3 linked regions of the Arabidopsis thaliana genome follow. The protein of the gene in region 1 interacts with the protein of each later gene in a biochemical or structural test. Each region holds a gene or a part of one and is shown in the gene's direction. Other genes may lie near its edges. The genes, in order: ROC4, SERAT2;1 and AT3G11630.

Region 1 (5,948 bases):
TCATCTGTTTTAATTTTTCACATGTTACATATTTACCGAATCTCTTCCGTAATTAACTTGTGGCGATGTTTTAATCACAGTTCCGCTGGGAGTTACTTGTTTGTATCGCACACCGGTTTTGGAGGAGTTTCTTATGCAATGGCTATAACTTGTCTCCTACTTCAACCTGGTCAGAACTTCACAGCTACACCAACCACAAATTCTTCTACCTTAGAAGAAGATGATTCGCCTTCAGGGGCTTGTGATGAAGAAGCGTTGAGTATGGGAGACTACCGCGACATACTGAGTCTCATAAGAGTGCTTTCTCATGGTCCTCAGAGCAAATCAGACGTAGATGGAATAGTCGAACTGTATGTAATCAATCAATCTCTTTTGAGAATTTTATCACTTTAAACTACACATCGCTCATGATTTCATCTTCTTGTTTTGGCATTTTATAGGTGTGCTGGTGCAGGACATTTGCGAGAAGACATCGTTTACTACAGTAAAGAGCTGAACAAACTTCCTATTACAAAAGATGAAAACCGTTCATACATCATGGACATGGGTGTTAAAGCCTTAAGGTTAGTTACTTACAACTTCAATCCGGTTAAAACGATCCAACCAAACCATGAGTTTCGTTTCTTCCCATATCCAAACAAATAATATGATTGTTTTGTATGAGCAGGCGCTACTTTTACCTGATAACATTCAGATCATACCTCTATAGCACGTCGCCGGAAGAAATGAAATTCTTGGATTGGATGAAGTCACGGCCGGAACTTGGACATCTCTGTCATAACCTCAGGATAGATAAATAAAAGTGTGATTTTGGGTTTCAGTGTCCATACATATATGTATAAATCTAGGCAAAGTTATGTTGTTTGGTTTATACAGAGCTTTTAGTGTATAAAAAATTGTACAGCCTTCTCTTCTCCTTCGTCTGCTTTGTAGAGAGATCTCTGTTTATAGGTTTGTACCTTTATATGCATTGCTTAAAACCCTCCAGCTGATTCAGCAGGTTATTCTAATGAACAAGGTTTATTTTTTCCTTTATTAAAATTTAAAAACCAATTAATAAAATTTAAAATATATATATATAACGACGCGATTTTTAGACTTTCTTGGGAGCAAACTTAGATTTGATTTTTTCGATTTCTTTCGTTCCGATTTGAAACGTCGTCGTTAAAACGTGATCCGGAATCGCCGGAGTGGCTGTGAATAGCGTGGCGGCGATCGATTGTGTTCCCGGTAATTGACTGTTGAACGCAGAGATCACCGACGCCGGTTTCGCTTTGTCGTTGTTTTTCTGGTAATGAATCAATCCTCTAGGGAAGACGAACACTTCTCCTTTCTTCACCGTCTTAGCGAAGAGCTTGTTCGCCGTCGTTATGAATCCAACGTCAAGCTCGCCTTCCAAAACGAAGATCACTTCGGTGGCGCGTGGATGCGTGTGCGGCGGGTTTAAACCTCCGGGAGCGTAGTCGATACGCGCGAGTGAGACTCCGAGCGTGTTAAGCCCTGCGATCTTCTCTACGTTTGCTCCCGTGACGGCTGACCCGACTGTGTTGTTAACGACGGCGGGTTTTCCGATTCCGGCGAAGAAAAAATCTGAAGCGGTGATGTTTGATTCGGGTTTACATGTGAAACCATTCACTTTTATCCCTACATAATCCAAAAACGACGACATTTCATTACTTTAACAAATCATTCAAAGTAGACAGTAAATTTAATTTGAAGATATATGTGTACCTGAAGTGCGATCCGCAACGCAGAGATCTTGAAGTGTGTCAGGATCGTAAGCAAGAACAATCACATTTAGAGATAACAAAGTAAAGAAGAAGCCAAAACATCTCGAGTCCATGGTTTTGACTTTTGATGATGTACTGTAGAAGAACAAGTAACTAGATTTGAAGCTCTAATTTGAAACTGTGTGATATGTTTTTGTTTCGATTTGGATCGTTATAAATATTTGAATCTGTTTGAGGAGAAATTATGCATAGCTTAACTAACTTAAACGCAAAGCAAAGCTTGGGAGTTGGAGGAAAGATGTGATGTCGTTTTCTTACACATGTACATATTTAATCTAACTTTTAAGTTTTGGTTTTCGTTAGCTAGAATTCTTGGTTTAACCGAAATATATTCCAGATCAGAGATCTATAGATCAATAATAAAAAGTTTCAGTTTCAAATTCTTGGTAAGGAGTTGGAAAGTTAATTAAAAACTTGAGTGACAAGCATTTTCTTATCATGATGGGCTGGGCCTGGTAGATAAACAAATAGGCCCACTTGTGGTAATCATCGATAGGGTAAATTAAATCGAGGTGTTAGGTTAAAGCAGATCCGTGCCTTGTTTGGGCCATGGTGCGGCCCAAGTGATGTTTTTCCTGGATTGACAAAGAAAGTTACTCAATTACCCTACAGTTACATGGTTGTGAATGTGCCTTGGCAAGGGGTAGAGTCGAAATTAGCACACGACAACCAGTGAAAGCAAACCAGTAAATTTCACTCATCCACAACCACAGATAAATCTAACTAAAACCCTCTCAGCTACCAAACAATCTCTTAGCGGATGAGAAATATCAAAGTACTCTTGGCACTCAAGGAACCCACCCCCATCAGCAATACAATTTCCTTATGTAAGCTTTGAATGGCTTTGGCGAAAACTCTTAGCTGATGTTCCGTTTACTTCTTCTCCCTTACGCAGTCGGTGCTCAACAGAAGCTGTTACAAACTCCAAGAGAGACGAAAGTTGCTGATGCATGGTACAGCAAATTATGTGTGTTTAAATAATGTCCAAAGACTGTAGTAGCTTTGTGTATGAAAACATGAACAATTTTGTTGGTTCTTGGAGTTTGTGGTTTTGATCTATTGAGTGTGAAATAATAGACAAAACTAATCTTGCTGGTCTTATGATGTTGTTCATAAAAACATGATTTTGTTCTAGGAATATTAAATGCCAAAATCTGTAAGCAGTTAAATTTTCAGAGAATGATATCAAAATTTTGGAAAATTAAAAATTGTGTGCTTTAGAAAGAAAAAAAAAGGCTTTCTACAGCAAATAATAAAAAAAGGCTTTCTACGGCAATTGTACTTGATAGTCATCCGCAACCACAGGTTTAACCCTAACCCAATTTTTTGTTGTAACTTAAGAGAGAAAGCATTTGGATAAATGACTTGGGCTGGGCCTAAAAGAAATTAAAAATAGGCCTCTAGCTGTCATTATCATTAGGCGTAAGTTAGCATGAGATGCTAAGGATACCACCAATCCATAGAGTTGCTAACTTAAAAAACAAGGCTCGAGGCGGTTCTCTTATCTGCAAAACTAAAGACTGTTGTCTAAAGCGAACCAACAAAAAGTCTTCATCTTTAATCATTCAATGGCTTCTTCGTCTTCTATGCAGATGGTTCACACTTCCCGCTCCATTGCCCAGGTTCTAAACTTAATCCTACATTTGCGGTTTTTTCAATTTTCGTCGAAGATTTATGCTTTGAATTCTATCCTTTTTTCTTCTTCACTTTAAGTAGTGTGTCTCTGTGAGTTAAAACGAAATTTCAATCGGATACTATTCCTGTTCTTGTGGGTTTTTTTTGGTCTTAAATCTCTTTTGTTTGGTTTTCTGTGTAGATTGGGTTCGGTGTTAAGTCGCAATTAGTTTCTGCAAATCGAACAACTCAATCAGTTTGCTTTGGAGCTCGTTCCTCTGGAATTGCATTATCTTCGAGATTGCACTATGCATCACCCATTAAGCAATTTTCTGGGGTTTATGCGACCACCAAGCATCAGAGAACCGCTTGTGTTAAATCCATGGCTGCTGTAAGTTACTTTTTTCATAAATCATTCATGTTCTGTTGCCTTATGGATTCGTGTTGATTTTTGAACTTGGTTTGTAGGAGGAAGAAGAAGTAATCGAACCTCAAGCTAAAGTGACAAACAAGGTTTACTTTGATGTGGAAATTGGAGGTGAAGTTGCTGGCAGAATTGTGATGGGTCTCTTTGGAGAAGTTGTGCCTAAAACCGTTGAAAACTTCCGTGCCTTGTGTACTGGTAAGCTCCTTATCAAAATGATGTTTAAAGTTTGGAACTTTATAGACACAATCAAAACCATTGTCTAAAGGAAATTGATTTCTTCAGGTGAGAAGAAATACGGGTACAAGGGTTCCTCTTTCCATCGTATTATTAAGGATTTCATGATCCAAGGAGGTGATTTCACCGAGGGAAATGTAAGTTCTTTCCAACAAGTTACATTTCAGACTGTTTGTTTGTTATTTTGATATTTCTTTCTAAATCGTCTTTTTCGATATGGTCTCACAGGGTACTGGAGGTATTAGTATTTACGGTGCCAAGTTCGAAGATGAAAACTTCACCCGTAAGTACTCACAAACAAAGAAAAACTCTGGTTTTCTGCAAATATGGCATTACTTCTTTGAGGTATTAATGGTTTTGTTTTCCGCATTTGCAGTGAAGCATACTGGACCTGGAATCTTGAGCATGGCAAACGCTGGTCCTAATACTAATGGAAGCCAGTTTTTCATTTGTACCGTCAAGGTAAAGATTCTCAATTCTTCACATCATCTATAGAGTTATCGATCTTTCATATGTTTGCCTTCCCATTTTGATTAATATTTATTTCACAAATTTGTTTTTTTGTGCAGACTTCATGGTTAGATAACAAGCATGTCGTGTTTGGACAAGTAATTGAAGGTATGAAGCTTGTTAGGACTCTTGAGTCTCAAGAGACTCGCGCTTTCGATGTTCCCAAGAAAGGTTGTAGAATCTATGCCTGCGGAGAGCTCCCGTTAGATGCTTGATAATCACTATTGACCGATGCATTGTCTTTGCCATCTTTGTTCTGTTTTTTGCTATTATGACTATTGAGGAATCCAAACCATCAAAAAGCCAAAGATTTTCAAATTCTGGTCTTTTATTTATTATATATTTCGGATACATGAGTTATAAGTTCTTTTAATCGATGTGGGATTCTTATTAGAATGTCTCTCTAAGCATTGACCATGGTTGCAACCGCGGCTTGCTGAACAATTGGCTCGAGCTTCTCATCTTTGTTGTCTTCCCATAAATCAGGTATTGCTTCCTTTATGTTATGAATGCTGCTTAGTGCATAGTCAGCACCTGGAACTAGCACTGATTCCCCCACAAACACGGTTTTTAGCCCTGTTGCTTTAGCACTAGCGATGTTACGAATACTGTCATCGAAGAATATCTGAAAAGAAAAAGATATAGACTTTTAAGTTTGGTATCTGAAACTGTGAAAGATCATAGTGACTTTTCTATTACCGTTTTGCGTGGATCAACAATGTCTGCAATGCGAATTGCAGCTTCAAATGCTTCAACAGAGGGTTTACAGAGGATTTGAGTGTTTGAATCAGAAGAAGGGTTTAGTGTTTCGAAGCAAATGATTCCTTCAAAGCAGTCCTCAAGACCCAATCTGTTGAGAGCTCGTGTTGCGTGAGCTTTGTCTGCGTTAGTAAAGATCTGTTCGAAGGGAAAATGAAAAAACAGAGGATGAGAAAAAAAGATTCAGTGGAGAATTCGAGTACAAAGCTTGAAGAAGGAAGAAACTTACGATTTTACGGTGAGGCATAGAGAGGAGAAGGTTACGGAGGAGTGGATCAGGTTTTAGTTTCTCGTAGGGAAGTCTTCCATGGACATATTCATGGAATTCATCGTTGTCGAATTCGTAACCCATAACCTATAAGTACGCCTCTGTTTTGGTTATTTCAGTTTCCTCAGTGAATGTTTAAGATCAAGAATTTTGAAATAAGTTACCTTGAGACCAGCCATGGTGGTTCCATATTCTTTGTAAAGATCCAAACACAACTTTGGAACTTCACTCTCTTCGATTCCGAGTTGGTTAAGCATGAACTCTGCAAATAACGAAAACAAAGGGATACAAAATTCAGTTATATGGCCGTTAATGATTAAGTAAAGACAAGCATCTTGAAATGTTA
Region 2 (5,021 bases), on another chromosome or scaffold:
ACAAGGACTAAATGTCAAACTCTTAGCCATTTTTGGTAGCCAACGGACATGATTCTCCAAGTTCTATAAACAGTGTCCAAACTTGGACTTGTGGCTACGTTGTGTTATGTAGAGTAGTAGGCTTTTTAACTTTATTAGGTGGAAATAGTATTTTCATTTTGCAAACACTCAAACAAAGTTAGATGAGTAAACTCAATGATGTGAAAAATTGGAAAAGGTTTTCTTTTTTCCTTTGAATAACGATTTTTGAGGAAGCTGAATGAAAATAAGATTCTTTGTTGGTATTCTGATGGTGGTTTTCTAATTTTGACGTCGTCGGCGTCTTGTTCTACACAGAGAGTCTCTTTGTTCTCGTTGCTTCCATCTTCTATCTATGGCTGTTTCAGCTTCTGGTCCTGTAAACACTCCCTTTCGTCTACCAAGTCTTGAAACCTTAGACCCATTGCCTGAAGTCAAATGAGAAACTCGTCTCTGAGGCTTCCGAGGTATGCTCTTCTTCTTAACCATTCTCAGAGCCTCTATTGTTTGATTTCTAGAATGCTATACTTTTTTCTAATCCTGCTTTGCAGAATCTTTAGCTAACCTGATAGAATTGTGCTTTTCTATCCTTGGTATTAGATCAAGCGGTCTAAACTTCCCAGTTAGACTTTGAGGTTTTTGTCTGCTCTTGTGAACAATCATTTACATACATTGTGTGTGTGTGTGTCTGCGCGTGTGAATTCAGGTACCTAGCTCTTTCTTAAATCAATTCAGACATGATTCGTGGCTGTTAAAACAAGCTACAATAACACAAATGAAGAATTGTTCAAATATCATGTGCGTTAATGTCCACGCTCCTGAAATAGATTACGTATGTTTCACTAGGACTTGTTAGAATTGTGAAACTTATAAAACTGTTCTTTTTGTTAGGCAATGGTGAGGCTATTTTACTTTCAGGTTTAAAAAACCTGTTGAAGCATTAGAGTGTTGATGAATATGAGTTTCCCTAAAGTAGATAGTATCTTCAGTCTGAAGTATATATGCATGTGTTGTTTCTGATCATAGTGTGCATCAAATGGGATGGTTCTGAAGATCTTTTGACAAACTCTTTGTCTATCAATTGATGTTTAAGGTTCAACAGCGATTCAGTTTCATAAAAGGTGATGTTTTTGCTTTTGCTTTTGTTAGCAGATGGTACCAAATCAAAAAGCTTAGGATCATATCGAGTGCCCCTTATCTGATAGAGGACTCAAGGAAGCAGATACTTAACCTCATTAAGCATCATGCTCAATCTTAGCTCCTTATTGTGCTACTAAAGTTCCAGTCTATTGGTATCCTCTTCCAATCTTATTATTTGTGTTGTTTTTTTGTGTGTCCTGACGTTTCACAGTGTCCATTCTTCATCATGTCATTCTCCATTCTTCAACACATCACAATTATATTTTAGCTAAATAGATAAAATTTATTCATATGATTTATTCTAAGAGATATTCGACATTTTTCAATATAAATTTTAGAAACCAAAAAATTGTGTAACTCGAAAGGGAAAGTTCATATATTCTTTGTGAACCAAATCGAATTCTCTAACTGAATAGTATTTTGTGTTTTCATGATTTTGAAGAGCCAAATCTACTTGACTACTGGTTGAAAATTGAAAGAAACCCTAATAAGGGACAATGATAACGAAAGATTGGGTCCTCAAACAATGGACACCACTATTCTACTGCCATTTAAAAAAAAAAGTTTAATATTTTTGAATTTTATTGTTGTTGTTTTCTCATTTCAAAACATCCAAAATTCCAACTAAGATAAGATAACTTATTTGCAGTAAGAAAAACGGATAATTTTATTTATTTGAATCCATCCATCAACATAAAGGTGTGCACAAAGGACAATATTAGGCAAATGACAATGTCACGTAATCTACGTTGCCCAATTGAATAATTTGATTATCATAAAAGTTACACAAGTTTCATTATTGAGTATTGAGTACTGAATAGAGATATCTTCAACCATAATGTAGCTTTCACAATTTCCATACGCGAAAAAAAGATATACACAAATGGAGTGTGTAGAGTAAACTAAACTCACTCTATTATGACTAACAGTCAATAACACGTACGTAGTTATCAAATTATTAATGAGTAAAAAAGTTCCAAGTTAAATTATGTATAAATTAATCATGTATTAGCATTAGATTATTAAAGTGTGAAAAAATGATTAGATTCAGACAACCTTGAAAATAAGGAGTTAAAGTCAAAGGGCGACTGCTTCACGTAACTTTAGACTTACGTCATTACTAACGTCACCTTTCTTTGAAAACCTCCTCCTTTTGAAAACCTCCTCCTTTTGGCAACTTTAATAATAGATCCAATTTTCTTGGTTTTTCCCCCCATTATTTGGAAATTATAACCATTTTACTACAAGTGCCTTCTAAATTCTACAACCCAACAAAAAAAAAAAAATTATATTACATATCATACAAAATAGCTAGATAATAAGTAGTTGATGTTATTGTTATGAAAAAGTTGGTGGCACTAAAAACATGTGATGGCTAATGACCCTTAGATATGTGTAGATAAGCAGACTAATCATGCAAAAATAAATACAAAATTGTAAACATCGTAATTGTCTGGACAATAAATCATAAAATTAAAAACATAAAACCATTTCCAAAATAAAATTGTGTATGGAAAAAAATATATATTAATCTCACTTACTATATAATTCATTACCTCCTTAATCTGCAGAAAAATGTGTATAATTAAAGAATAAAATATTTAGAGAGCGCTAATTAAACTGTAATTACTTTTTGAGATTTTTTTGGGTCAGAGTCAAAGGTCGCCGCCATCTCTCTCTGTGTATATAAGCTATGTTCATCTTCTTCACTCAACAACCATTCTCTCTTCTCTTCTTTATCTCAAACTCTTTCTTCTTCCAAATCATAAACCATGGCAACATGCATAGACACATGCCGAACCGGTAATACCCAAGACGATGATTCCCGGTTCTGTTGCATCAAGAATTTCTTTCGACCCGGTTTCTCTGTAAACCGGAAGATTCACCACACCCAAATCGAAGATGACGATGATGTCTGGATCAAGATGCTTGAAGAAGCCAAATCCGATGTTAAACAAGAACCCATTTTATCAAACTACTACTACGCTTCGATCACATCTCATCGATCTTTAGAGTCTGCTTTAGCTCACATCCTCTCCGTAAAGCTCAGCAATTTAAACCTACCAAGCAACACACTCTTCGAACTGTTCATAAGCGTTTTAGAAGAAAGCCCTGAGATCATCGAATCCACGAAGCAAGATCTTATAGCAGTCAAAGAAAGAGACCCAGCTTGTATAAGCTACGTTCATTGCTTCTTGGGCTTCAAAGGCTTCCTCGCTTGTCAAGCTCATCGAATAGCTCATACCCTCTGGAAACAGAACAGAAAAATCGTAGCTTTATTGATCCAAAACAGAGTATCAGAATCTTTCGCCGTCGATATTCATCCCGGAGCGAAGATCGGAAAAGGGATTCTTTTAGACCATGCGACGGGCGTGGTGATCGGAGAGACGGCGGTGGTTGGAGACAATGTTTCGATTCTACACGGAGTGACCTTGGGAGGAACAGGGAAACAGAGTGGTGATCGGCATCCGAAGATTGGTGATGGTGTGTTGATTGGAGCTGGGAGTTGTATATTGGGGAATATAACAATCGGTGAGGGAGCTAAGATTGGATCAGGGTCGGTGGTGGTTAAGGATGTGCCGGCGCGTACGACGGCGGTTGGAAATCCGGCGAGGTTGATTGGTGGGAAAGAGAATCCGAGAAAACATGATAAGATTCCTTGTCTGACTATGGACCAGACATCGTATTTAACCGAGTGGTCTGATTATGTGATTTAACACAAATGTGTATTTCTTTCTTTCTTGTAACTGATGATGATGAAACAAGTCTTGTCTATTTCTTAATATTTTACTATGTACTAATCAAACAAGTCTTGAAATCAAGCTCATCGATCTTTAAGAAGAAACTAGAGATTAGTTTATCTCGAGGCGAATCAAGAATGTGTACACTTTTATGGATTAATATATTTGTTAATAACATGGATTGTGAATTGGGCCTTAAAGTGGACTGTTAAATGGGCCATGTATAACCAACTCACGCCAACAATAGTTTTCTAATGGTTACTTTCGTCGCCGGAGTCGTGGAAGGTGGAGAAATGGGAAAATCTCACAGAAGAAGTAATTATGAGTCATCGTAAACTAGAAAGAAGACTAAAGGACGAGGCAGAACAAAGCATCATTACTATAGTATTGATGACGTTCTGGTTTCGTAATTAAAGTGTTTTCATTTCCCAATGCAAATGACTTTTGATATTTCTTCTCTAATAAAGAAAGTCGCTTATAAAACTCAAACATAGAGAGAAGTTTTCATTTGTTCTAAACTTATTCAAAACCCTAGTTTTTTCTTACAATCAACCATCGCTAAATCAGAAGAAACATTAGTTTCACAGGAAAAAAAAAAACTAAAAAAAAGAAACAGAGATTATAAAGAGTCCATTGGAATATAGAGAACCGAAAATCGACCGAGATCACAAAGCCAAGATATGGCAAAAAGATATGATTCTAGAAGAATTTGGAAGAATATTAATAAATGTTAATATTAGAGTTTAGGAAGTTTAATATTATCTCTAAAAATATTATTTACATATATGTTTATTTTAGTTTAGGAAACTTAGATCTCTTCCTTCTCTATATAAAGATCATCTCCAATGTATAGCTCTATATCCACCTCTAAAATAGAGTTACTCTATTTTTGAGGTGGGTTTCTCTCCAATGTATAGCTCTATTTTCTACTCTAAAAAAGAATATTCTTAAAAATATTCTATTTCTAATTTATATACTAATTCCTTTTAATTATATAATTTACAATTTGACCTCATATATTATAGATTTGCAAAAATTTCCAGAAAATATGACATTATTTAAATTAAACACTACTTATTTATTAAAAAACATTACATCATATAACAATAATAAAACATTACA
Region 3 (5,559 bases), about 19 Mb from region 1:
TACATAAACCATCTCTCTGACAATTACTATTAAACTAATCTGTTTAAAACAAACATTTTGATGGTTGACACTTATTTTGTTGGAAGGAAGAGACAGGGGAATGTACTTTACTGGAGCTGTGAAAACCGGTTCTTGATTAGAGTGGCTACGTGCTGCGCAACCCATGCCGAGCCAGCCACCGTGCAGCAGAATCCGTGCGTGTGACCTTCCCTCTCGATAGATAAGGAAGTATGCGGAGCTTGCTTTGAAATCTGGACAATGGAGAGATTCTATGAGAGACCTTCCTTCTATCGTTAGGATAATGCATTTTGATTAAGCGAGAAGAAGGGAAACCAAGTAACCTCTTCAAAGAGTTGCAGTGGACCCCAATGATCATCAATGCCAAATAAAAATGCAAGCTTGCTCTGGTTTTCTCTCATGAAATCCCAATCTGGCTCTGCTGCAAGCTTATATGCCAAAAATGAAACAGTGGATCGTCACCTAGAATGCTTTAGTTGGAGATCAACTATAGGGCAAGCTTGGTCATGTTGTAGAGCTTTCAAGTAAACACTTTGCATACTTTGAATTCAAAATGAGACTCTAAACTCTATACAACACATTGTTGAAAGAAGAGTACCTCTCTAAACTCTGACTTTGCCATGAAGAGAACATTGCGCATGGTGTGATACTGCAAGCATCAGATGAAGTTAAGTCGTCTGAATAGTTAGTAGGGAATAAGAACTTAAAGTATCAAGAAAAGAAGATGTAATGGCCATCTTCAAGTCTTTATACAACTAGGTTCAAGTGTAAAACCCAAGAAAATCAGTGAATATGAGATAATCAATACCTGCCTCAAGTGAGTGCAGGTAGCTTGAACAGCAGTATCAGACCATGAAGCTCCAATGGATTTAGATACAAGCAGCCGTGCAGCTGACATAGGTAAAAGTCTCAGCGATGCAATCAGAAAACTTGCTGTAGCCGACAGAACAGAAGACCTGCACAACATGATAACGATTTCACAACATTCTAAATAAAGACTGATTGGTTCTTTCCTATCGAGGATTCGTATTGAGAACAAAAGCTCACGCTGCAAGTTTGCCAATTAATGATTGCTTTGTTGATTGTTGGTTCAAAGTCAAAAATGGATATAGGCCAATGCAATATACCACCTGCAAAGCATTCCAGAGAATAATATAAGAAAAATCACATAGCACTGAAAGAAATTGTGATGGAGAAAGTACTACTCTTAGAGGAAGCCATCTATACCTTGTCCGAGAATTTCTTCAATAACTCAAGGGATATATAAGACCCAATAGAATGCCCAACCTACCAAGATCAATTAAGCTTAGAGTTGTAAATTTTCATGAAAATCTGGAAATCCATCCAACTAATGGACATATATATTTTGGTCATAAGAAGCAATATGTCAATGGCTTATACACATGACAGTCTTACCAATATTATTGGAACTTTCACACTCTCCAACTCCTGTCTGATAAAATCAATCTGTATGATAACTAACAGATTAAGATCTTAACTTCACAGGATGAACAATACAAGAACCTAAAGGCTTTCAAATCCAAGAGCAATGAAGAAAAATGATTTTTATTACCTTATGATCAATTTGTTCTTGAAATGAAAATAGCCTCCCAGACTCCCAGTCCTAAAAGTGAAAATAATCAAGTATCATGAAAGCCTATCAAACTAAGATATTATATGAAGAGAACCATCAAAGTTTACACACAGTAAAACCTGAAACCAAAGTTAACGTACCTTGCTCGTGTGAGATATTTGCCCAATAGCTACACAAATAAAACAAACCACTCCACCATTAGAGATCAGAAGAACAAACTCAAACTCAGAAATAAACAGCTTCCATCTTAAGGACTCAAAGAAATCAAACTCGAAAAGTAGAGCAGCCATACCAATTACAGAAGCATTTCCACCAAGAAACTCGTATAAAGATTCCAAAAAGTCCTTGTAAAATGACACAACTCCTGAAAAATTACAAGCCAATGTATGAAGCACACTAGTATATACACGTGCATGCATAAGAGTCTTGAGCATAATAATGAAACCTGGATTTCCCGGAATAAACAATACATGGAATGTGGGATTCTCAGCTTGAATTTCCATCATCTCCGTCATCGAACTTTGATCACAAATACAAAAAACAAAACAAAAAGTGTAACTATAGTCAAAGAAATTAGAAAATTTCGTAAAAGATTAATGTAACAATACCCAGAAACTCTGCACAATCTGGATTTAACATGTCTTTTAGTTTCATTCATCAATTTGTTTTGAGTCTCCATGTCTCCGGTCACGCGATTCAACTTATATCTTCTCTCAGAACTGTCAACACTTGAAAGGAGAAGATCGAGAGAATTAATGAGACAACAGAGAAACCACTAAAAATCAAAACTTTGCAAAATAAGTGAAGAAGCCTTTTAAAGTAAACCAAGTGAAGAGAGCACAACAATGCACCTGAAACAACAGGAGTAGATTAGATACTTTGGAGAACTGAACCACCGATCGGAGGAAGAAAGTAACGGAGAGACGGAGTTACCCAAGGTAGAAGAAGAAGACGCATATTTGCAGCAATAGTAATACGACCTCGTTTTGAGTAACGCGACGTCGTTTTATGAGTTTGGGTGTCGTCAGGCTTATCTCCACCTCATACTTCCACTACAAAGAGAGGTGATTGACAGATAGATAAGAGTGTTTGGTAGCTCAGACTCAGAGAGTCACAAAGTGTGTGTAGCAGCAATGGCGTCTGTTGCTTCTTCAACTACTCTCATCTCTTCTCCCTCTTCTAGGGTTTTTCCAGCAAAGTCTTCACTTTCCTCTCCATCTGTTTCTTTCCTTCGAACCCTTTCTTCTCCTTCCGCATCTGCTTCTCTCCGCTCCGGATTTGCTCGACGCTCTTCCCTCAGCTCCACTTCTCGTCGGAGCTTTGCTGTCAAAGCCCAGGCCGTAAGTTTATCTAAATGTCGATACTTTTCTTATTCGATGTCATTGAAATCTGAATTCATTAGCCTGTTATAGATTTCACTCTCTTCCTACTTGTTAGCCCTATAGGTTTTGGGGAAATAGTTAACGATTTATAGGTTATGCGACCGTGTTTCTGCAGATTACTCGAAAAGTTCAGAAATTTGAGTGACATTTTCGTTTAGGGTTGTTAATTTCTCTGGTGAAGTGAAATTGAGTGACATATGAGCTATACTCATTGACTGATTAGTATGTTCGGATGAGGTCTATGTAGTTTTGGTATAGTACCATGGTTATCTGATTGTCAATTTGACTGATCTTTCTCCTTAGATTTGATGTGTTAACGAGTTTTAATTTGGTGATTATAGGATGATCTTCCACTGGTTGGAAACAAGGCGCCTGATTTTGAGGCAGAGGCTGTGTTTGATCAAGAGTTCATCAAGGTACTTACAGCAGTTATCAATCACAGTTGCTGCTTCTAGTTAATCTGAGATTAAGTTTAGTTTTGAAGCTGAATGAGTAGTCTTTAGTGTTTTTTATTTAGTGAGTATATGTCTTATTGTGATTGGAAACTAATTGGTAACTGATGAATGTATGGTTTCAGGTTAAGCTCTCTGATTACATTGGAAAGAAGTATGTGATTCTCTTTTTCTACCCATTGGACTTTACTTTCGTCTGCCCAACAGGTTAGCATTGCTCGAGAAGTATATCAAAATTGAATATCCAAGGTTCCCTCATCCTTGAGTCCTAATCTTTCTCATTTTTTCCTTATGTCTTTTAGAGATTACTGCCTTCAGTGACCGGCATTCAGAATTTGAGAAGTTGAACACCGAAGTATTAGGTGTTTCTGTCGATAGTGTGGTAAGTATCACTATACATTTACTATGTTCTCATTTTACTCAGTTCCTCATCCTTGGTTGACATCACCATGTTCTTATCTGTTTGCAAATTTTTGATTCATTCTTATTTCTGTGTGTCCTCGTAGTTCTCTCACCTTGCATGGGTCCAAACAGACAGGAAATCTGGAGGGCTTGGTGATCTGAACTATCCCCTTATTTCAGATGTCACTAAATCAATCTCAAAGTCGTTCGGAGTGCTCATCCATGATCAGGTAATTGTTAGCCTTTAAATCTTGGCTACCTTCCTTTAAACTTTCGAAGTGTTTGGGATAAATGAAAACAAGAACTTTGTTTGTGTAAGAACAGGGAATAGCACTGAGAGGACTTTTCATAATCGACAAGGAAGGAGTGATCCAACATTCCACCATCAACAATCTTGGTATTGGCCGAAGCGTTGATGAGACAATGAGAACCCTCCAGGTAAAGATACAAATAAATACACACAACTCCAAAAACCGCTCTTTCCTTTCACTCGATTTCCGGTATGCTTAATACGTTTTCAATGTTGCAGGCATTACAGTACATCCAGGAAAACCCGGATGAAGTCTGCCCAGCAGGATGGAAGCCGGGTGAGAAGTCAATGAAACCCGACCCAAAACTCAGCAAAGAGTACTTCTCAGCTATTTAGAAACTCTACTATGATAGCAAAAAGGTACAATCTTTGTTATATGTGAGCAGAGTTTTTTTTCTTGTACGCTAAAACAATCCTTTGTTTGATTCTCACTTTGTCCCCAAAATTATAATAAAAAACTTTTTCCGTTAATGGAAGTCTTATTGTGTTACGCCTACAAATTCATATTCAGTTGATCACTTACCTAAGCATGTACACTGTACATATTAATGGTAAAAATCAAGACCATTTTGTGATCTTCTTTGATAGCACAGAGAAGCCATTGTTCTACCATATACGCTAGTCATATTAAAGGACCTGTAAAAAAACCAAAGGACAGAAATTATAAAACTATCATTTCTCTTTCTTTAATGCATCTATATGATAATTATGATCCTTAAAAAGCTGATGCTACCTGTAAAAAAGTTGCTCATGTGTCCCCCTGCCAACAAATTCCAACATCATTAATCATCATCAACCCAACCTCCTCCGTCAACTGATGACCGGTAAACGCCGGTCAACTCTCCTGCTTTAACTACACTACGTCCCGGTCATTATTTTTTCACACTCTCTCTCAAACGATGCATGCCCTCACCAACTCCGGCGCCGTACTTCTCGCCGTGTTACTCTTCTTTCTGCTCATCCTTTTCGCCGAGCTCTCTTACATCTTTTGTTGCCGCACCGGATCTTTACCGTCTCCGGCAAGTAAAGAGGTTCTTTTCCAATTCTTGATGTGTTGCAAGAAGAATCACCACCACTCTCGTATTGAGCCATGCACCGGTATTGTTTCTGTACAGATGGAGGAGGATGTTGTTGCTGCGGCGGTGCCTGAGGAGGAATTCGCGGCGGCGGACAAGTGGCGGGTGTCGAGGCTTCTCTTCACAATTGAAGAAGAGGATTTGGAACTGGAAGATGATGATGATGATGTGATCTCTGCGGAGGTAGATAATGGCTTCGAAGTCCAAGTTGATATTCCGGTGGAGTATTCCGGCGATCCAACTCCGTTCTTGACGCCGTGCAACTCACCTCCTTACTTTACTCCTTCGCCATCTCCTGGTCGGGATATGGATGACGTCATTGATG

The links.
Region 2: the proteins of ROC4 (region 1) and SERAT2;1 form a complex in vitro, tested with the Arabidopsis thaliana proteins (one study listed by BioGRID).
Region 3: the proteins of ROC4 (region 1) and AT3G11630 form a complex in vitro, tested with the Arabidopsis thaliana proteins (one study listed by BioGRID).

Annotation. Positions count from the first base shown.
Region 1 is NC_003074.8:22,970,350-22,976,297, forward strand, and holds ROC4 (rotamase CYP 4), read left to right. Parts: upstream 1-2,654; coding exon 2,655-2,743; intron 2,744-2,925; coding exon 2,926-2,946; intron 2,947-3,214; exon of another isoform or gene 3,215-3,309; coding exon 3,310-3,412; intron 3,413-3,606; coding exon 3,607-3,795; intron 3,796-3,872; coding exon 3,873-4,026; intron 4,027-4,113; coding exon 4,114-4,202; intron 4,203-4,293; coding exon 4,294-4,348; intron 4,349-4,441; coding exon 4,442-4,527; intron 4,528-4,634; coding exon 4,635-4,790; 3' UTR 4,791-4,978; downstream 4,979-5,948. Other genes in the region: AT3G62010 (metal ion-binding protein), read left to right, coding at 81-350, 441-563, 668-800; GLP10 (germin-like protein 10), read right to left, coding at 1,094-1,644, 1,732-1,843; AT3G62040 (Haloacid dehalogenase-like hydrolase (HAD) superfamily protein), read right to left, coding at 4,979-5,200, 5,275-5,472, 5,564-5,689, 5,767-5,859. UniProt on the Arabidopsis thaliana protein: PPIases accelerate the folding of proteins. It catalyzes the cis-trans isomerization of proline imidic peptide bonds in oligopeptides. Required for the light-induced increase of thiol accumulation.
Region 2 is NC_003070.9:20,909,448-20,914,468, forward strand, and holds SERAT2;1 (serine acetyltransferase 2;1), read left to right. Parts: upstream 1-2,668; 5' UTR 2,669-2,714; coding exon of another isoform or gene 2,715-2,723; 5' UTR 2,724-2,788; coding exon of another isoform or gene 2,789-2,830; 5' UTR 2,831-2,930; coding exon 2,931-3,875; 3' UTR 3,876-4,118; downstream 4,119-5,021. Other genes in the region: AT1G55917 (uncharacterized protein), read right to left, coding at 1,678-1,702, 2,289-2,335, 2,393-2,419, 2,542-2,566, 2,601-2,611, 2,715-2,723, 2,789-2,830. UniProt on the Arabidopsis thaliana protein: Serine acetyltransferase which catalyzes the formation of O-acetyl-L-serine from acetyl-CoA and L-serine. Also displays O-acetylserine (thio1)-lyase activity in vitro. May be involved in detoxification process by mediating the production of glutathione.
Region 3 is NC_003074.8:3,669,444-3,675,002, forward strand, and holds AT3G11630 (Thioredoxin superfamily protein), read left to right. Parts: upstream 1-2,592; 5' UTR 2,593-2,745; coding exon 2,746-2,952; intron 2,953-3,335; coding exon 3,336-3,410; intron 3,411-3,571; coding exon 3,572-3,653; intron 3,654-3,748; coding exon 3,749-3,828; intron 3,829-3,952; coding exon 3,953-4,078; intron 4,079-4,172; coding exon 4,173-4,286; intron 4,287-4,377; coding exon 4,378-4,494; 3' UTR 4,495-4,716; downstream 4,717-5,559. Other genes in the region: AT3G11620 (alpha/beta-Hydrolases superfamily protein), read right to left, coding at 108-251, 342-446, 617-667, 827-974, 1,066-1,148, 1,246-1,305, 1,435-1,485, 1,592-1,642 and 4 more; AT3G11640 (uncharacterized protein), read left to right, coding at 5,058-5,559. UniProt on the Arabidopsis thaliana protein: Thiol-specific peroxidase that catalyzes the reduction of hydrogen peroxide and organic hydroperoxides to water and alcohols, respectively. Plays a role in cell protection against oxidative stress by detoxifying peroxides.